Linked DNA regions of Drosophila melanogaster. The protein of the gene in region 3 interacts with the protein of the main gene of each other region in a pairwise test. Each region holds a gene or a part of one and is shown on either strand. Other genes may lie near its edges.

Evidence for each region. The genes of interacting proteins can lie anywhere in the genome.
Region 1: the proteins of Eip63E (region 3) and CycY interact in a two-hybrid assay, tested with the Drosophila melanogaster proteins (2 studies listed by BioGRID).
Region 2: the proteins of Eip63E (region 3) and CycC interact in a two-hybrid assay, tested with the Drosophila melanogaster proteins (2 studies listed by BioGRID).

What each region holds. Positions count from the first base shown.
Region 1 is NT_033779.5:11,807,608-11,815,874, reverse strand, and holds CycY (cyclin Y), read left to right. Parts: upstream 1-2,094; 5' UTR 2,095-2,150; intron 2,151-3,192; 5' UTR 3,193-3,443; coding exon 3,444-4,281; intron 4,282-4,375; coding exon 4,376-4,758; 3' UTR 4,759-5,783; downstream 5,784-8,267.
Region 2 is NT_033777.3:14,886,520-14,891,967, reverse strand, and holds CycC (cyclin C), read left to right. Parts: upstream 1-1,762; 5' UTR 1,763-1,910; coding exon 1,911-2,498; intron 2,499-2,558; coding exon 2,559-2,774; 3' UTR 2,775-2,964; downstream 2,965-5,448. Other genes in the region: UQCR-C1 (Ubiquinol-cytochrome c reductase core protein 1), read right to left, coding at 1-17, 92-183, 245-615, 678-1,006, 1,066-1,272, 1,542-1,610; CG33332 (uncharacterized protein), read right to left, coding at 3,009-3,173, 3,234-4,118; CG33331 (uncharacterized protein), read right to left, coding at 4,358-5,386. UniProt on the Drosophila melanogaster protein: Component of the Mediator complex, a coactivator involved in regulated gene transcription of nearly all RNA polymerase II-dependent genes.
Region 3 is NT_037436.4:3,512,019-3,520,367, forward strand, and holds the start of Eip63E (Ecdysone-induced protein 63E), read left to right. Parts: upstream 1-3,732; 5' UTR 3,733-3,916; exon of another isoform or gene 3,917-4,510; 5' UTR 4,511-4,755; coding exon 4,756-4,810; intron 4,811-8,349. Other genes in the region: ImpE2 (Ecdysone-inducible gene E2), read right to left, coding at 1-584.

The DNA of each region.
Region 1 (8,267 bases), on a different chromosome or scaffold from region 3:
CGTCGATCTGTCTAGATATTAAGTACCTAACTAAAAGCTAAACCAAAAAATACCTGACAACTAGCTATACGACTTGTATATACTCTACACCAACCCCTAACAGACTTTCCCCACAAGAAAAAGAAAAACCAAAAATCCAAGAAGAAGGCAAAGATTTCAAAAACTTTCCACTCTACAAATGCACATAGCTACCTATACGATGGGATATATAATATTTATTGTTAAGAATATAATAGTCACGTTTCTACAAAACATATTTATTTTTATACATGAGCGCGGGACAAAAGTGAGAGCAGAAAGTGGAGGGCTTGAGTCGCAGGAGGATTTGATTTCCTTTCGTTTCGGTTTTCCTTTTCCTTAATCAACTTGAAATGTTTTCAAACGTTTTTCAAAATGTCTGATAGCGGGACCATTCTTTTAAGATTTACCACTGCTCTTTACCAATTTGAGCAGGGCGAAAATCGTAGGGAAATTCGAGGTGGAAAAGCCGCCGAGCGATAGCAGCAGAAAGTCAAAGGGCAGTGGTAAAAGTGCTTAGCAGTAAGGTACCAAATTATCAGCTGAAATTGGGATCATAGCTTTATTAAGGTAGTCGATAAATGTACGAACAAATCGTGGTTGCAGATGTGTATAGCGGATGTCTACTAGTAGCCATAGCCACAAATTAAAAACAAACACGAACAGAACAGACAGAACAAACAAACGTACACAGCAGATTAATCTACTCCTAAACATTAATGGGATAAATATAGCGCCAGAATACCTATTATGCGGACCGTAAATATTATTGAACAACCAGTGTATGTTAGTGTATATCAAACTTGAACGCTCAAAGCGATGCGCATGCATATATCGTATATATACATATATATATATATAGCGACCTCTCTCGAAAATCTGTACAAAGTCCTGATTAATATAGCGTTAGGCTGCAGACCCTCGAACAAAACAAAAAAAAAAAAACCGAAAAAGTTGTTATTTATCTCTGTTGAAAAATGGGAAATCCACAGAAACACTAATCGAACGTATGCAAACGGATATATATAAATATATATGAGGTTTACGATTCAATGTTATTAGCAAAAAGTAGTCTAGTAGTATCATTAACACACACATAGACATATTATATAGTTCCGGCCGATGTGCAAACTTGTTAACGAGAGAAACTTAGCTGATGGAACAATATGAAATACACACTTGCATACGGTAAATAAGTTGAAAGCAATCATTACATTTAAACAATAAATATAAACTACTTAACTATAAAGTCCCTAATGGAAAAAAAATATATATAAAATACATTTTGTGTAAATACAACTTGCACAGGATGCAAAAAGATGTAGTATATTAGCGGAATGCACTCTAACTAAAGGGAATACTGTAGCCATCCCACACCAACTAAAAACCGAAGGAATCGCATATTACTGAGATCTGTAAATAACTTTGTTTCATCTGTTCATTTCTAGCCCAGTTATTTATATATCGCATAAGCAAACTAATTGTGTACTTTACAAGTTATCTCGAAACAAAAGCCTACTAATGAAACGTTTTTAATTTTCCTACTATGTTAAACTCAACATTTAATATGCATAAACTAACGGCGATGGTCTAAAAATTGCAAAACAAGTATTTGAGATAAAGGGTATATGGCTGAGATGTATGCTTATTACGAAATACTTTCAAGTAAATTATAATAACACCATATGACTTTTAATATACTAATAAAAATTCTTATTAAACCTAACTGGGGACGGTTTTTTTTTAAAGGAGTTTACATATTTTGTTTAATTAAAGGCCCGCCCTTTTTTTGAATTTAGTGCTGCCACATAGTCATGTGTGATATCGATAAGTGGCGTTTCAGTACTTTACTTATCGACTTTCTTACATTGCCCTTTTATATATCCTTTTGTTGTTATTATTGTAATTGTGAATGATCATATATTTCAGGGACTAATTTATTACTTATTAATAATATTTAAGATTTTACGCAATGTTTTTAAAACTAGGCACTAGAGCATTTATCTGGTATTTTTATACCGCAAAATGCCATCTCTTAGCCGGATGGTGTTTTTGTGCTAACCATCAACGGGCACACCGCCACTGATATCTATCGATATTTATAAAATACGATACATTTCATTTTCGAGCAGGTAATTAAACAAAAAAACGCGAGAAAACACCAAAGATGTGTGAAAAGTGTTGCATTACTACCTTGCCCAACTGACGGCCATCGCCTCATCAGTGAGATAGCCACCAATTAAGCCTAATCACCCAATAATCCCGATTTGGTAGTCATTCGTGGGTGTTTCTCCGGGCAGAGGCCGAGCAGCGCTGCCGGCGACGACAGCGGCGCCAGCGTTCATTCATTCATTCACTGCAATGATTAATGTGCGGGGAAAAAACAATTCAAGTGATTTGAGCAGAGATAGTAGGAATCTAGGAACTGGGCAATCAGCTGCCCACCCGGTGACAAATTATCCAATATCTCCGGCCTTCCGCGCCGTAAACAAAGTCACAAGCTTCGCTGCCGCCCCGCCCCTCCCAGAAATGGGAAGAAGAAGAAGAAGTTAGAGTCGTGCTCCCCACACAGAAAACAAGAAATCGGCGAAAATAAAGCAAAGACCTCGCCAAATTAGGCAATTAGGTTAATTAACTTTTCGCACAACAATCTGGCCGGCCTTTAAGCCAAAACGATTCCGCCTATAAACAGAGCAAATATAAATGGTAGATAGTGAAAATAGCACAACTTGCAGATCGAATGCTGAAATACCCTAACCAAAGTAACCCTCCTAGGCTAAGTTCGATATGCATGGCATATTTGGTTTTCGTCATGTGACTTCTTTCACGTTATTATCTTTAAAAACAACAAAGTTTTTATCATATCTACAGCTGACTTTCCCTACAATTTATATGATAGAAGTGCCCCCAAACTTTCAAATCAATCAAATAGTCAGTCTTATCAGGTCATTCAAATTTGTAGCACTAGAAAGTGTTATTAACAATAGTTTAAATGCCACCACAAGTAGTGAAAAAGTAGTCAAAACTTCTCTAAAATCGAATAGCACCCTCCCCAAAAAAGGGCAGTGCAATTAATAATGGGTTATGGGATGAGAATGAGAACAGATTTGCAGATAAGATCGAATGAAAGCCGAGGCTAAGCGTTATCTATATACATACATATACTCTTTGCAGCAAACGCTCGACGACGGGCAGCGGTAATTGTGGAGCGATAGAAACGCCAGCGCCATGCCCATAGACATAGACGCACGACGACCAAGTGCCAAAAGCGAGAACCGAGCGTGAGCGACTGCCAGGAGCAGGATCCGTAACCACGGGGTCCATCCGCTAGTCAAGAGAGAGTGAGCAAGCGAGCGAGTGAGTGCCAAGCCAAGTTTGCATTTAGTTTGAGCGCCCGACCAACCGAACCAATCCGAAACGGCAAAATGGGCAACAAGAACTCGTGCTGCGCGTACTCCAGTCCGCAGTCGGACCGCAAGTCTAAGGACATGCCGCCCGTCTTCGAGGAGCGGATTATCCAGCTGGGTCATCCGCCGCACACGTCACAGCACCAGTTGGACGGCCACCATGGATCCGCGTCGGCGGTGCACCTGCATCACCATCATCACGGCCACAATCAGCAACAGAATCAGCAGGGTGGCGGCGGTGACAACTATGAGAACCAGCAGAATCTGCAGCACATCTCCGAGCGAGAGGCGCTGGAGGGCGAGGAGGATCCGTCGGTCGATCCCACTGCAGCCACCATGTTCCTGGAACGATCAAAGGTGGAGAACGGCGGCATGACGCGCAAGCGTTCGCAACAGCAGATTGCCCAGCAGGCGGGCAGCGGCGGCGGAGGAGGCGGCGGCGGTGGCGGCGGCAGTACTCCCGGTGGCAATAGTTGCGGCGGTGGTGGCGGCATGAAGAAGAGCTCCTCCTGCTCGACGATCTATCTGGACGACAGCACTGTGTCGCAGCCGAATCTTAAGAATACGGTCAAATGCGTCTCACTGGCCATTTACTATCACATCAAGAATCGGCAATCGGATCGCCGGCTGGACATCTTCGACGAGAAGCTTCATCCGCTGACCCACGACCAGGTGCCGGATAACTATGACACGCACAATCCGGAACACCGGCAGATCTACAAGTTCGTGCGCACGCTCTTTAACGCCGCCCAGCTGACGGCCGAGTGTGCGATCATCACGCTAGTCTACCTGGAGCGGCTACTCACCTACGCCGAGCTGGATGTGGGACCCTGCAACTGGAAGCGCATGGTGTTGGGTGAGTGGAGTGCTGCAAGCATCAGATATTCAGAACAAGCAGTAGATCACTAATTTGGTATAGCTTACTAATTTCTACTATTGATGTTCTGCAGGTGCCATTCTCCTCGCCTCAAAGGTGTGGGATGACCAGGCCGTTTGGAATGTAGATTACTGCCAAATACTCAAAGACATCACCGTGGAGGACATGAACGAGCTGGAGCGCCAGTTCCTCGAGCTGCTGCAGTTCAACATCAATGTACCGTCCTCGGTGTACGCCAAATACTACTTCGACCTGCGCACGCTCGCCGAGGCCAACGAGCTCAACTTCCCCACGGAGCCGCTGTCCAAGGAGCGGGCCCAGAAGCTGGAGGCCATGTCGCGTGTGATGCAGGACAAGGTCACTGCCGAGGCACTGAAGAATGGGATCAAGAAGTGGTCCTCCATGGACAACATCAGTCAGGGCGGGCCGCGACGCAGCGTGGCCATACTATCGTGATTTATATTAGCTTACTAAAACCGAACAACCAACCAACAGCAGCAATGAGATCCGTACTCTGTAGTCCGTAGTCCGATCGAACGTCATTTGAGAACCGTAGCTCTGCGCTGAATCAGATTTTGCACACAGATTCAGATACATTTCGTAGGCCACCCGGTTGCATAAGCTTTTGCGGGTGGCTTTTTAGCCAGCACACAGACTCTAAAAGGAACACCCAAATACGTGCAGAAAGAATCACAGTCTTATATACAATATATACATACACGAAGAAAAGCGTTTTAACCACACGTCTCGAATTAAGGACCACTTTTTACATATACGTACATGCGATCGATGTATGTAAGCGAAACTACCGATGCAGTCATGGATTTGGATGATGATTTTAAACAGAGACACAGAAGTACTACTACAGCAACGCGTAACCAATTGCCAAACGAAAGATCACAGAAGCAGAAAGAGATACAGAAACCTAAACCGAACAGTAGAGAATTGTTTGTACAAAACGGCTTAAATAATATTGTAATTGACTTGGCCACCTAATCCAGCTGGCATCTAAGCAATTTAATCTCAACGGTTGGCCACGGCCACCAAATTGTCATTTACTTAGCGCGTCCGCGCCCAAAAAAAGAAAAGAAAAACATTTCCCTGTACATTTGTTACGAATTTAATTTGTTTACCTTACATCCATGTTTTCTTAATAACTCAATATGATTTCGTGTGATTCTTATATAGTTTCCATTTAGCTTTATATACGATGAACGATATTCGGCTTCCCCGCGTCAGGCTTCAGGCACAAATCGATTTTCTGGGGGCGCGGCCTGCGGCAAGTTGATTTGTTTTTTTTTGGTTCTTAGCATTAGAAAAACAAACAAAATCCGAGCGAGAGTTGCAAGGAGCACAGCGCAATATTAACCCAAAAGATTTGTGAGTAAATTAATGTACTAGACATATAAGGATACGAATTATATGCAAAATGTATTTTATTTTGTAATTTATTTTACGATAAAGCTAAATAAAAGCAAATCAAAGAAATAGACTTTCTATAACTTAGTTTTTGTCACTTTTTTTTCGAAAACGTGGGTTTTGAAAACGAAAGCGCGCTTATTCGAAGTCAAAAACATGGCCATATGAAACAGAAAGTTTTTGAAACATTTTTTTTTTTTTATATAGAAAGGACTTCTGGCTATTCTATGTATAAAAACATTTTAGAAACATATCTTATTCTAAATAAGAAGATCGATCATAGGATTTCTTTCGAAAATCGTATAAAATGTATTGTATAATCCACTTATTTTCTTTCCCTCCCACAAAATATGGATTCAAAAATCTCGAACAAGATTATGTGGAAAAGTATTGATAATCACCTAAACACATTGATTTTCAACATTATAAATACTCCACTTGCAAATGCAAAAAAAAAACTCTTTAGAAATAGTCAAGATCCTACTATTTAAGTTTATACTTTCAGAAAATCTTATAATTCCAATTACACTTTATAACTTATTAAATTTACGCTGCTAATTATTTTTATTATTTATAAAATACTTTACGAAAAACTTAATTTTCAAAGCTATCGACGCAGTGCCATCCCTAATTTGGTATTTTTGTGTATTTGGTATATTTCAAAATTACATTGAAAATAAAGCAGCCCGGTCACACTGCCAGCTCTGGAGAACTATCGATGTCATATCGATACTTCTTCCAGCTCTATACACTGCTTCTCTCGCTCTTCCGCCCGCAACTAAAACTCTGGATCCGCGTTAAATGTTAAGAAAATAAAGGCACCGCTCTAATTAAATGGCCAACCGCAAGTGTACAGTGCGCGCAATGCAGTTAGTGACCAGTGGAGAGTGATGTGCAAGATCGGGCCACGAAACCAAGATCGCCATTGAGCAATCCGGGAACGGCGTCTGTTGAAAAGGGACGCTGCTGCAGGCAGAAAAAGGAGTGGTAGCTCGCTGGTCTATGGATAAAACGTAACTATATCGCTGGTGAGTGCAATTCGAATTGGCGACTCTTGCATTCGTATTCAAATTGGCCAATTGGACCCGGCCGAATTTGTGTGCTTAACCGTTTTGCCGCCTTTTTGTGCCCAAGCCCCGAAAAAGCAGCACAACAACGGGAGGGGGTTGGTGGAGGGAGCGGCGGAGACAGCGGCAGCAAATCGTTAATAAGAACAACGCAATCGCACGCACACACACACATGCGGGCTCGAGCACGCATTGTATCTGTATCTTGCGGTGTCTCTCGTAGTCGCTCTCGCTCTCTCGCTGCCTCCACACCTCTTGCCAGTGCTGGCCACTTGGATTCTCTCTAGCCAGTTTTTGTAATTGGAGTAAGTGCAGGTGCTGCTTGGCTAGTTATCTACTCTGAATGCTAAAAGTAGTTTAAGTTTTCATCTAATATAAAAATTTGTTGAAAGGGATACTTTAATCAGTAATTTATAAATGCTTTTTTGACTTTTTCCATTTGAATATAAGGTTATAAAGATTAAATTGAATTATTTTAATAAGTGTTTTAAATTTTCATGTATTCCGATCAGATAAACCGCCTTGTTATTAAAGTTATTTTTCTCACTGGCTTATGTAAATGTTAACTTTTTTTAGCATTGGATTGGGATTATTGGGCTTTTTACAGCTCTAAGCTAATCAACTCATTACCTGATATTTGTTATGCCTTTGCCATATTATTAAAAAAAACTTATATTTGATATTTGACTGTCAAATTTTCAATAAGATAATCAGATAGCCTTGTTATTATGCCACACTTAGGAAGTTCAATAAATAACTTTTAAATATAAGAGTCGAATCAATTGATCCCTCGTCAAAGCCAAACCGCCTGCACTGGCTCTCCCACTGGACTTTTGTGCTTTCGGCTGCCGCCCGAACGCGCCGCACGAAGAACTTTTACATCGGTCGCCTTTGCCTGCTCGCCTTCTGCTGCCTCCGCGTCTCATTCAGTTTTCAGTTTGCTTTGCTCTGTTCGCCGTTCACCACCGCCTCTCACCCGCGCGGCGTTTCGATTCTGATTGCCACTACTGTTGCACACACACACACACATTCGCCGGAGAGTGTGCCCGCCACCACCACCGTTGCAATATCAAGTAAATTTTCATATACTGGCGTCATAAGAACGAACCGAACAACCTTTTTAAAGCTTGTAAAAAATGCAGTGTTTTGTACGAGGGGAGAAGCTGCTAGAGGGGGTGGGTCGGATATGATGGGATGGGGAGAGGGACAAGTACCGGGGCTGATTGGAAACAATTGAGTTTATTTGTGAAATTCGCAGGCCAAAAAGAATGCGAGAATTATTAATCAAATGACTTTGCGGTCGACTTCGCTGTCAGTGTATTGGTGTGTGAGTGTTTTTGTGTGCGAGTGCGAGAGTATCTGTGTGTGCTTGTGTATGAGCTGCGCGCACATCCACAGCTACAGAGTTTCCATTAACGTCATCATCGTGTCATTCTTGCAAGTTTTAGAGCGAGAGAGGGCAGACGCAGGGTTGCATTT
Region 2 (5,448 bases), on a different chromosome or scaffold from region 3:
ACGTTGAAGAGCATATCCTGGGGAAGAGGTTTGTTTACGTAAAATTTGCTTTCTCTCGAGAGTTTTCTGTTGAATCATTAATTCTTCTTACCTCGCACTGCAGAGGGTCGCACACGAAGTAAATGCCCCAGAGTCCGGTGTCCTTGTAGCATGTGTTGAACGATTGGAAGCTGTGGCAAAGGTCTGTAGGGCAATAATAGTTAATAATCTCCATATCCTGGTCGTCTTACTGATGTACACTTACTGTCCTCAGCGCTGGCACGGGCCAGGTTGGAGGCGTTGTTGGCGCCACCGCCTTGGGAACGATCCCAAGCACCCACCAAGGTGTTGGCCACCATCAGGGGGATGTTGTCCTGGTCGGTCCAGCCGCAGCCTTCGACGGCGATGGCGACATGGGCCAGGGGCAGGGAATCGTCGCGCACACGCACCTCGGAGCCGGTGAAGCGGCAGGGAGTCACCTCCGCGGGCAGCACACTGGCCTCCAGGCCACCCAAGCTGCTGCAGGCAAGCTTGACCAGATCATCGTGCTTGACGCCGCCAGCAGCGGCCAGAACGATGCGCGAAGCCTTGTAGTGGGTCTGGATGTAGTCGGTCAGATCGGCCTTGCCAATGGACCTAAATAAATGAAGATTTTAATTAGAGACAGAGCATTTGTTATAAGAGCTGAATATACGTACTGAATGTTCTTGGTGGGTCCCAGGATGGTCTGGCCCAGAGGAGTGCCCTGATAGGCGGTGGCGTGAAGGTGATCGAAGACCACCTCCTGCAGGTTGCTCTCCACCTCCTGCATCTCGCGCAGAATCACCGAACGCTCGCGGGCGATCTCAGCCTCACCCAGCTTGGAGTTCTGGATGATGTCGGCCAGGATCTCGACGGCTTTGGGCACATCCTTGGACAAACACTTGGCGTAGAAGACGGTCTGCTCCCTGGAAGTGTAGGCGTTCAAGTGGGCGCCCAGGTTCTCAACCTCCAGCTCCAAATCCGTTTGCGAGCGCTTGGCGGTACCCTAAAAAGTGGCAGAAACGCATATTATACGCATTTAAAGCATCAAGCTAGTGAGCCAACCTTGAAGGCCATGTGCTCCAGGAAGTGGGCCACTCCGTTGTTCTTCTCGTTCTCGGAGCGCGACCCAGCATCGATCCACAGTCCCACGGTGGCGGTAGAGGCACCGGAATCCTCGCTAGCCACGCGGAGACCGTTGTCCAGCTTGGTCACCTGGGTGGCGGGTATGTTCAGCAGAGTCTTCTGTAGGGTGGCAGCCGACTTGTATCGCTGTAAGTTCGGGAAAATTGGGAAAACTATAGCCCAGAGTTAAGTAAAACACGAACATAACCTCAAAGTGCTTGTAGTGGGTTTTCCAAACAGTTTTCCCAAATATTTGTTTGAAAAACTGGATGGCTCTTGAATAACTGACCAACAAGAGGTTGTTTATCCCTTTTCTCACAAGAATAAACCACAATTGCAACCAAAAACACAATCATTTACAATTACGTAATTTAAATCCTCGGAAGCGTAATCATTGGATGGCTGTCTGGACTTACTTTGATCATGTCAACGCCCCGCATGAAGGAGCGCATATTCTGCGTCACGCCAAGAACTCGCAACGCCATCGTTTTATTAATTCGTTCAATAGCCTATTACTAAAAAATATTTAAGACTTTTTCGTCTGTGGCCGCGGCGCTGATGAAAAATTCACACACACACACCAATGTACTGCGCTGCGCAAAGTTGGCTGCGGCCAGTCAGCTGTTCGTGGAAAATAGCCCTGGTGTGCACACACTGGCTGAAACGGCAACACAATTTTTTCGTTTTTCCTGGTTTTCCGGCTTGCTATTGAAATAAACACCTAATTTGGATAGCTAACACGAAAATATTGGCCGACCTAATCAGCTAGGCCTACTAGTTACGAAATGGCGGGCAATTTTTGGCAGAGTTCGCACTCGCAGCAGTGGATTTTGGACAAACCCGATCTGCTCCGGGAGCGTCAGCACGATTTGTTGGCCCTTAACGAGGATGAATACCAAAAGGTGTTTATTTTCTTCGCAAATGTGATCCAGGTGCTCGGCGAGCAGCTAAAGCTGAGGCAACAGGTCATCGCCACGGCGACGGTTTACTTCAAGAGATTCTATGCGAGGAACTCCCTGAAGAACATCGATCCTCTGCTGCTGGCGCCCACTTGCATCTTGCTGGCCTCGAAGGTGGAGGAGTTCGGTGTCATTTCCAATTCACGACTGATCTCGATCTGCCAGTCGGCCATTAAGACAAAGTTCAGCTATGCGTACGCTCAGGAGTTTCCCTACCGCACCAATCACATCCTGGAGTGCGAGTTTTACCTGCTGGAGAACCTGGATTGCTGCTTGATTGTCTACCAGCCGTACAGACCGCTGCTGCAGCTGGTTCAGGACATGGGCCAGGAGGACCAGTTGCTCACCCTGAGCTGGCGTATCGTAAACGATTCCCTGCGCACCGATGTCTGCCTGCTCTATCCTCCTTACCAGGTTTGTGATCCTGATAATTTCTACAGCTTCCTCACATTTGAAGAACCTATTTTTTTCTAGATCGCTATAGCCTGCCTTCAAATCGCCTGCGTCATCCTGCAAAAGGACGCCACGAAGCAGTGGTTCGCAGAATTGAATGTTGATTTAGACAAGGTCCAGGAGATCGTGCGCGCCATTGTAAATCTGTACGAGTTGTGGAAGGACTGGAAGGAAAAGGACGAGATTCAGATGCTGCTGTCCAAGATTCCGAAACCGAAACCACCGCCTCAGCGTTAGAAGAGCTTCATAATCATTCATCATTAGCTGGTATTGCCCAATTGTGTGTTTGTACTCATATTACCAATGTATTTATGCCAATTAAACGAAAGTTTAAGCTAGGTGACTAAGCAATCAAAAATGTCATTTACAAATTATTTTGCCTTTATAATAATTATTTCTAAATTAAATTACATAATTGCTTAAGATTAACATGCGGTACGGATCGTCTGGATTTTTTATGGTTCATTTAACCTACAGATACTTAGCTTGACCCCTGGAGAACTTGGTGTTCAATATCTTGGCCTTGTCTACAATCTGCTTGGTCTGATTCTTGTCGATCTTGTTAAGTTTCAAGTCCACATCCCTACTAAAAGGTCTTCGTTCTGGCTTGGAACCCGATGCAGCCAGTTCTTTTTCCTTAAATTTATAACAATATTATATCCATATTATGTTTTTAAGAAATATTTTTCCTCGTACCTTTTCTCTCTGCTCTTTCCTAAGCTTTTTTTGATGTAGCTCCACTAGGGACTCCTCTCGCTTGTGCTTCTTTTTGTGCCTCTTGGCCATGCTCTCCTGCTCGTCATCCCGCTGCTGTTCGTACTTGACCTGTGCCATTTGCTCGAGTTCCTTCGAACTGAGCGACTTTGGGCCCGATGCAGCAGCATCCGCTTCACTCTGCGGGGTCTTCGTCCAGGATGATCGATCGCTAAAGTCGGGTCGCTCTTTTCCCTGATAGAAAGTGCGCTTCATATTGCTCAGGGCGGCAAGGCCGCTCTTCAGTCCCACATCTGGCAGCTCAAGCATCCACTCTTCGCGGACATCTTGGTCTGTAGATGTACCCAATCCCCCGCCCTCCAGAGCTGCCAGTTTAAGTGCCAAAGCACGTTCCTCCAGAGCCACTTGACTGGCATTTGGCAGAGGACCAAAGGTGCCAGCTAGGTCATCATCGTCCTCAGCTTCCGCTTCCTTAGTAGGAGACTTTTCCCGGGTCAAATTGCTGGGCAGGACGGGTCCTATCATGGCCTGCGGTTGTGGGGCTGGTTGGCTTTGCTCAGGGAGTTCCGGCTGCTGGGTCTTCCTTAAATGCGGCGGTAAAGCGGGACCAAAGGAATCTTCGTTGTTTGTAGCCACATCTGGCGGAGATGCATTAATTAAATGTGGAGGTTGCGTGTAAGGCACAGGTGGCTCCTCCTCATGCTTGCTGCGTTTCTTCTCCTTGTGGCGACGCTTTTCTTTCTTGTGCTTTTTCGACTTCTTCTTTTTGGACTTGTCCACATCTTTGCTGTGCTTCTTAAGCTTCCGTTTCCTTTGCCTTTCATCGCTGGACGAATTGCTATCACTACTATTGTCGTCGCTGGACATGATCTGCAAATACAATTAATGAAATAATAAGTAAACCAAGATATTCCTGAGGTTATAAAGAGGTCCATTGGATGTGAAAAGAGAGAATCCCCAAGAAAACTCAGGTCTTTGGATTGGGCTAAACATTATATTGCAGTTAACAACTTTAAAGCTTAAAAGTATTTAACAAAATGCAGCTGGATGGGACAACTTAGTCGGTAGAATGATTGGCAGCCAGGGGATTAACCCGAAAAATAAACCTAAACAGCGAATGTCTTTTGAGCCTTGCGATAGCTATACGCCAATGACTTGAGAATGCCAGCACTGGGAATATTTTTGATCGATTGCGTGACACTGCTGCGCCACACAATGTCGTTGACGGATGCCTGCAGCACCTCCGGAAGCTGGGAGGCCATGGATAGGTGATTCACCACCTGGGTGTAGTCGCCACGACAGGCGGCATTTCGCTGCAATCGCTTCTGAAGCTCTCGGGGCAACTGTCGCAGGTGTTGGCATGTAGCCGATGAGGATTTGTCCTGCTCGAAGATTATGGCTGGTTTCCGGCTCCCTGGTTCCTGGCCCTTCATGTTTACCGCCACATAGTCGGAAAGTTGTCCCAGGGAGGGTTGGTATAGGGCGAAGAAGTCATTGATTTGCGGACTAACTATGTTGTGCACTTTCTGTTTGTTTTCCCCGAAAATCATACGGAAATCGCCCTTGTAACTCAGTCCGGCGATGGTGTGGAAAAGTCCGTAGGCAGTGAACTTCTCTGGTAAAAGTAGCAGAGCCACTTGCAGCGCGGATACAAGATTCCTCTCCAGCGCAGCCTTGAGGGGAGGATTATCAGAAGGATTGACCAGATTCGTCACTGGTTTGTGCAGCCTTCCTGCCAAGTAAAGATGCCGCCAGTCAAGCAGATCCTCCAGCAGCTCCTCCTGCGACACCACGCCGTACTTTATGGTAATGCCCACATCTGGCAGAGGCACCAACGTGTTGCAATAGACACCCGCACCCAAACGCTCCTGATACTTGGCCACAAAGTTCGGTCCCAGGTGCCTAAGGGCGGAATAGTGGTCCGGATGACGGTGCAGGTTCTCCGCATGGAAGCCCCTAGCATCACGAACGCAAAAGACCAGATCCACAACGGTTCCCGGCGGAGGACGCAGGTTGTTTCCATTGCCGACTTTTCCATAGCCTTCCTGCTGTTTGACGCCGGATCCGTAGGCGAACATATAGCTGACACTGCCCAGAGGAAACCGCGCCACCGTGCGTCTGTATAGGTCCAGCATCTTGTGCGTGTTTTACCTCCTAATTGGACTAAACTTAGGCTTTATAATTACTTTTTTTTTAG
Region 3 (8,349 bases):
TCCTGGTTTTCCGACTGCTCTTGCTCCACCGGATTCGGGGAAAGTTCCTCGGCAGGCACAACGACAGTCTCTTCAGCTGGCAGAGATTTCAGAATGTTCTGAGCAGGTTCCTCTTTGATTTCAGTGGCCTCTTTTTTGATTTCTGGCTGCTGAACTTCTTCTTTGATTTCCTGAGGTTTCTCCTCAGCTTCCAGGGATTTTTCCTTCAGCTCCAGGGGCTTAGCATTAGGCAACTCGTTGATCTGCTCTTCAATCTTCTCCTTGAGCTCCTCCTTAATGTCTGCCTTTAAATCTTCCTTAATCTCGTCTTTTATATCAGGCTTAGGCTGCTCTTTGATTTCAGGCTTAATTTCTGGCTTAACTTCCTCCTTGAGATCCTTGGCTTTCTCTTCTTGAGCAATTGGTTTCACTTCCTCTGGCTTAACTTCCTCTGCCTTAACTTCCTCTTTGACCAAAGACAAAGCTACTGGTGGCTCCTTATCCTCGACAATGGCCACAGGAATATCGATCGCCTCCTTGGGCAAGTTGAGTACTCTGGCTTGGCTAATGGCCAGGAAAACCAGGATCAAGGCAACGGGCTTCATTATCGCGACTTATCTCCTATATCTCCTTCGATTTCAAGATGTGTTCACTAGCGCCTCACGGCCGCAACTGTTTGAAATTTCTTTAGGCCCATCGCATTTTATACAAACCACCGGCTGCGCAGCCGCCGTCGACTTTGTTGGCAGACAAACAAGCACACAGGGCTAAGGTATGAGCAAGAGGTTGGGGAAAAGTGGTAGTATCAGTGCCATCGTCTTTGGCCAATTCTTGCACACTGAGTGTCATTGAACTGGACCAAGTTGGTCTTGCATTGCACACAGGAATCGAGAATCAGAAGCCTTTTTGGCCACGAAGCTGCACTTGTAATTGGCCAAGACGTTGGGACAGCGAAAAGGGCTGGGACCATCATCAATCATGTTTGTTTTATCGGCCATCAGTGTTTGTTTTACTCAGGGCATATAGCAGAAATAAGTTTATAGGAGTATAAATAAGAAAATAAAAAAATAAAAACTAATTTTGGGAAAAAAGAAAATAGGGTTTTTTCATTTGAATACTTTTTTGATTTTCAAGATTTTGATTTCAAGATTTTGAATACTTTCCTTGTTTGTTTAGGACTGTAGTTATCTATCTTGTTGTCTTAGGATTAAAAACTGTGATTACTATTAAATTTTACTGAACTGAGATAATCTTGGGATAAGCTAAACATCCGTGAAAAAATCTATTGCTGTGATAATTGCTAAATGTTTTTAAAGGTTACAAAATTTCTCACATTGACCAACTGTGCAGCGATTAGTCTCTGTTGCAGTCTTCCCTGATCATCGATTGGTGCATGCAACTCCCCCTTTTCCGCAGGTTTTCCACTTTTTCACTCTCATTCCTTGTTGACTCGATTCCAGGCAGCGACATTTGATCAGCAGATTTTACTGGTTTTCTTGTTTGGCTAAACGCTCCTACAAGAAACGCATTTGGCCCTATCGGCCGTTCTGCTGACTGGATGGTGAATCTTGAGCTCATTGGATCTTTGGTCTTCGATGGAAACCCGTTCCCCAGACCGACTTAAATGCAGTGTCGAGATGCAGACGCAGACTGGACGGAGAAACCTGCTCCGGCTATTTTTAGAGTCAATTAGCTTTGGACCGACTGTCTCTGCAGGGAAGATGCATCGCTGGGATGCGTTTTCCCCCGGTTCTGGGTTAATAATTCATTAGAAATGCACAGAAACCAAACCAAAACGCCCACAAGACCGGCGAACAAAGCTCCAAATGTGTTCTATGCAAATGAGAACATTTAAATGTAGTTAAATGGGTCAAACGTTTGATGGAGAAAACGTTGCTGTGCATAGAAGGAAAACTTATCTCCTGTCCACTTGGGACTTTCATATGGTGATCGATCGATCGATCGATTGAACCATTTGCAGCTCGATCGGCGGTGGTCAGAACTCGTTCTGTGGCCCTTTTGGCCAACAAGAGGTCTGCAAACAGGCCAAACCTGCAAGGGCCAAGACGATTTACAACCAAAGATGATAAAAAAAAAGAACGAAATTCAACTAAAAAACGAGGAAGCACTGATTTTTAAAAACAGCGTTTCAATACCCTTCAATTCGAGGAATTATAATGATTCTTGGCTGGTACAGCTTGATATGGGTTATAAGTTTATATAAGTTGAACTATTGCATATTGTTAATATTCCACAAGAAGTGCTATCAAGTATTGCTATTAAAGTTAAAAATATAAAACTAATCGCCTGACTATTTTAGTATACCTTTTCTGAGGGCATCAAGAGCAATCAAAGATCGAAGTGGATTGCAAAGGACATTGACTTGAAACTCTGGGATCTCACAACTGATCTCTTTCAGATATTTTATGACCCCAGCTTGTGGCTTTTAATTCTGCAACAAAATTGATTTCGGCAATGGGAAGAACACGTTTCCCCCCGAGTTACAAACAAAAAAAAAAACTCATTTCGGTTCTGTCGATTTTTATGGCTTTTCTTGGAGTTGGTTAATCGCCTTCTTTTTCTCTGATCTCTGGCGCCCAAAATATTTTTGCTCGAGTTTCGGTTTTTAGCTTTGATATTATGCAATTGCTAGCCGTACTCTTTTTTACACAATTGACTGTCGAATTAGCACCTCACTCACATCCAGCGACAGGTGACGATAAGGCGGGCGGGCAGTGGGCGTGGCAGCAGCAACAACAACACACATTACTCTAAACGGTGGCAACTTTCACTCAACAGCCGTGCGGAATACTAAAAAAAAAATCAAAAAACAAATAAATACCCGTGCAAATTGGGTGACAAAAACAGCAACAAAATGTCAGAAAAAAAAAAAAAAAAAACTGGGAGCGAGTGGGAGAGTCAGGCGATCTTCGTCATCCAAAATTACCTCACTTATCAACCTAAGCCGATTGTTGTTGCCGAAATATTGGTGTCATATTTTCTTGTCAAGGTCACAAATTTGTTGTCAAATTGTAAAAAAATGTTTATTGGGTCTAAAACAATAGTGAATAATTGTAAACGAATTTCTGCCAAGGTCAGTTATCCCTTTTGAACTTCGAGAAAAATATAGAAAAAAGAGAGTTTAGCCTTAGAAAAATTTTCAGTGGCTTTAATATTTATGTTGGCTGTTAAATAGGTTTGGAGTCGTAATAAAAACGTTGAATTCAAAAATATTAAAGAACTCAAGAAAATGTTGTATTAAAACTATAAAAAACATTCTGTCAAATAACATGATATTTTTATATATTAACAAAACAAAAATGAAGGAACAATTTTATATTATTGTTATTTGCCCTCAGTTGCAATCCACATTTCTTTAAAGTGCAATATGAGAATTCAGTTATTTCATTGTTTTAAAAACTTTGAAAGCAGGCTGCCAGAAAGTGGAAAAGATGACTTTGACGTTGCCGGATAGTTGTATTTTAATGTACTGTTAACCTTGGATTTTAACTTGTTAGTTTCTATAAGATCTCTAGCTAGTTGCTTTACCGTTCCGATTAAAAGGCTAGAGGAACCGCATTGTTTCTTGAAATTTAGAGAAATTAGTATTGTTCTTGTAGAACTTAAGTCAATACAATTATTTTTTTTTAACAGAATTCTGTTACTTGCGTGCTGTTAAAAGTTAGCAGTATTTTCTGCAAAGTCATATGTTTTGGTATTTCTCAGCTGCGCCGCCTGATTTTTTGGCGCTGACCCCTGCCTGGCCACACTGGCGATGTGGTGTGACCAAATTCGTGCTCGCTCCGCGAGTCGCCGTCAAAAAACAACTGTGAAATTGCACAAGAAACTAAACAAATAATCGCGTAAAATTACCGAAAACATGTGCAGCGGCCGTTAGCAGCGTGCGGCAACTAATCGAGCCAGTGAAAACGTGCAGGTGCGAGCGAGAAAACACGCGTACGCGTCACTAGCAACAACAACAAACACACAGTGCACCAACTCTCGCATAAGCACGCACACACACACACACACACGCGCGCACACATGCATAAACACCGACGCACATGCAACAAAAATAAAATAAAAACAAAAGAGCAAGCGAAATAATAACAGAAATAAATTTGATAAATTCAATTATAAATTAAGGCAGCTGCTTGTGTGCTAAGCAAAAATATTAAATAGAAAGTCTTGGCCACTTAAGTGAACCAAAATTAGAGAAGCAGCAGAGTGCCCAAAATATCAATATATAGATTTGATATCTAAAAGTAACGAAAGTTAACTTAAAACCTTAATGGTGGACAATGGATCAAAAAAACAAAATCCCTACTAAAATAAATTCCAAATACTTGCTAAATGAATGAAACCCGCAAATAAAGTCGATTCTTACCAAGATAACCAAAACTAGCTTCATGACTTTTAATTCTTGTTGTTTTAATTTTTGTGCACTTCCTGGTTACGGAACACCTGGAAAACCCCATCCTCGCCTTTTTCCACGCTGATTAACAAATCTCGCGTTTTTCCCCCCTATCAGCTGACATACGCATACAAAGCCCATCCAGTTGCCACCCCCTACTTCTTGCACCTGTAAAGAACAGGTGACTAATACACTGCTCGCGAAGTTTGTCAGCTGCTGGCGCCGTGGAAGCAACAACAACAAAACTAACCACATCCACATCGGCAACAACAACATCGGCTTTCTACAGAGCAGCGACGTCGGCGTCGGCAGAGGCCTCTGCCTGCACAACACCAGCAACAATAAAATCAAAAACTAAAACTATGGCCACCACCACCACAACAACAACAACAACGGGGGCAACAAATGCTAAAGATGGTGAGTTATATACTTAAAAGGATTTAAGATTAAAGAAAATATATCACAAGAAGTAAAACCCTTAAAAATCTTTAAAAAGAAACAGTAAATGGTGACCCACAAAAAACTGAAGCACAGATGCAAGGGTGCACATACAAACGACAAGTCGGTTAAAGTTCAAGGCGAACGAACAATTTAAATTGCAGGTTTCCGGTCAATGCCACTCTGTGTAATTAAACTAAAGTTAGTTGGTCGACCTAGATATTAGTATAACCTTTGGCTAAGAAAGACTGACATTTAAAGGCAATTAAAGGAAGGTTAGGTTTTAAGAAGAGCCATAAAACTATGGAAATAAACATACAATATCTTTAAATGTTTGGAAGGTTTTTCATTAAGGTTCTTTCATCTCCAGATGGCGGCAGAGAAATTAAAAAAAAAAACAAGTAAAATTCCATAATTCGCCCGCTTATCTGCGCTTTTCCAAAGACTTGCACATTTGTTTGCCCGGTACACAAGGCCGTAATCCTAATCCCTCAAAAGCTTAATCTTTTGTTTTGTATTCCGGGATCCGGGCAAAAAACCCTGAAACAGCAATCCCCACCAACGCATCTGACGTAACTTGTTGAGCAACCACGATTGCTGGCCGATTTGTTTTTGGACTTCTTTTTGGGCTGAGGAAAGAAGAAAAGTTTTATTAATATCAATAACCAAAAGAGCGAAGCGAGGGCAGCGAATAAGGCAAGAAATTAATGAATGCCACTGGTCGCGGGGAATAAATTTGAACAAAAAGCGAGGCACAAAGCAGCAAAAGCAAAACAAACCATAACCAGCTTAACAACGATAATTAAGAAGTGCCGGCCAGCAAAAAAAAAGTGTAAAAAATTACATACGAAATTTAATTGCCAAGGCGGAAAATGGTAGCATGCGGGGGGCAACAAGGGGGTATGGGGCCATGGCGAAGGTCAGCTAGGGGCCTGAAGGTCATAGGCATTTTCGACGTTGTCGTCACCTCTTGAACCCGCTCGAATTTATTGATTTTACACGCAGCAGCCGCAAAAAAGAGAGGAATAATCACAAAAACAACGGCAGCTACAAAATCATGCATATTTCTCGTTGCCCGATGTTTTACTACACCTTGAACAGTGGTCATCGGGTATGGTGAGCTACTTAATTAAAAAAACTTTTCATTATTAAGTTATTGCGAGCAGTAATTGTTAACGCCGCTAGGTGGAGCTCGTGTGCAATCCCGATAACAGTGGCACTCCTTTTAGTTGAATAAATGGTATGTCATAGTGTTGGCACTCCACCAATGTTCTTTGTTTCGCTTCGCGAGCATCCACTGTAGCCTTTATTCATATTTGTGTGCCCCAAACACTGGCACACAAAGCCAAACACACACAGAGAGCGACTTGTGCGGCTTTTGCTGGGCACTCGAGTAGTTCAGTGCGGGGCTTATGCCAAAGGCCAAATGGAAAACCTGCTTTAAGAGCCAGTGAGAGAAGCATACGAATCAGTCCAGCCACTGCAGAGCCCAAATCCCCTCCATGGCCACAGTTTGATGCTGAAATCGTGTGTTGTCTTTGGGGCTTGATAAACTGTAGCAAGCCCACAAAAATCTTCTAATTAAATCAAAGCTAACGGTTGCCGTTTAACGGTTTTCGTTCATAAAACTTGGCCAAAAAATCTAACTCGCTGTTCTTTCTGAGTTTTTTTGTTTTGTTTTTGCTTAGATACCATTGCCAATTTTAGGTTGCCATTTTTATCCCAACATTCTCATTTTGAGAGTCATTTTCTGTGTTATTTCTTATCAACTAAAACAAAAGGCAAAACTTTGATAAGCCAGTTGACACAGCGGGAAACATGATTCATTTGAGTGGTTCACATATTACATGGACTTTGGAATTTTCACTTAATTTAATCAATACGTATGTAGGTATGCACAAGTGATCGTAAATATTTAGAGTATACCTGACAACAATAAAATGCATTTTTAAATACACTGCACTCTAGCAACGAATCTTGTTCAAATATTTATTATTCAATACTATGTATTCGTGAGTATGAAATGTAGTTTCTTCTCATATATCCCCCTTTATTAAGTTATCATCAACTGGAGTAAGGAAACACTTCTTTATCAGCTCACTCTTTCCCTTATCTGATTACTATTTACATAACATTTTTCTGTTTATTCATTTGACTCTTATTTCTTTTATCAGTTGTGATTTTGCTGCTTATCGCGGCAAATGCAACTTTACCCATGGCAAATAAAATAAACAAACATCATGTTTTTTTACACATTTCTCCAACCCAGTTGCCATTTTCAATTAGTGTCTACAGCTGAGGGTCAACACGAAATGCTCTATAGTTTTTTTCAGCATTCAGGTAACCGAGCGCCCAAATCGCTGATAACAGCGTGGTTTTTTTTTAATATTCAAATATTTAATCACAAAGCAGCAAAACCACACACGCGTGCTCTATGCTGGCCTTTTTATTTGTCGTTGGCTCGTCGGATAAATGCGAAGCAAATTTTTGCAATTAGTGGATCGCTAATAAACCATAGTGGGCAACAAATGGAGAAAAGCGGAAAAAAATAAACTCAAACAGCAGTTGGCATATTGACATATCGGTCGCATTCAAACTGAATTCCCACAGCTGCCGATGCTCCCTTTTTGTGTCTTGTTTGCTCGCTTCACGTGCTTCTGGGCCGGCTTCATTTGCCGAATGCATTTCCACCGGCTGGGCAGGCGTCATTTTTCAATTGCCCACCGACTCCTGTCGCTTTCCCAGCGCTTTCCCAGCCACGCCTGGAGTGGCAGTTTGTCATGAGCGAAGCGGCCAGGTGTCGCTTTGCTCAGCGCGCTTCCTGTTGCCCCACACAACACTCCTAAAATAAAGGAAAATTAACTTTAAATGTATTAACTTAATAGTGTTAAACCCAATCAAGTTGTACGCTATTTAATATTAATATGATAGATATTACTGGCTACCTGATTACTACATACCACGTTTGCTTAGTTGATTTTGATTTAAGCTTTCCGAATTCGTTGTGCAACACTTAAAACATCATAATTTTCTAGATACCTACTTGTAATATTTTCTTTGAGTGCATCAATGTAACCCAGGCACACTCAACCCAGCTCTGTTTTCGCGCCGGCTCTTGGGGATTGCAATTTGATTTGTGGGCGAGTCAGTTGCGGTGTGAAGACTTTGGCTAAATTGCTGTGAGACTTTACGCCAGACTTATGAATGAGTTTATTGTGCATTCTAACAACTTAACTGGGCCTTCAGAGGCTGCGAGTGCACAGCCTGCGCCCCGGTTATATTTCACATTTAATTGTAACGACTTGAAGGTGTCAAGAAGTTAACCCAGCTCAAGACCATCGGAATGCTTTAAAAGTGCATTGTTGCACTTTTGGTGGGATAAGTACGAGACTTTTGAACCACAAGTAACTCGAAAAATTGTATTATATTTCACGAAAATAATATCTTTTACCACATATAAGGCATTCCATGACCTCTACCACTTTCTTTCCTGGTTAAGTGAGTCACCAGAATAAATT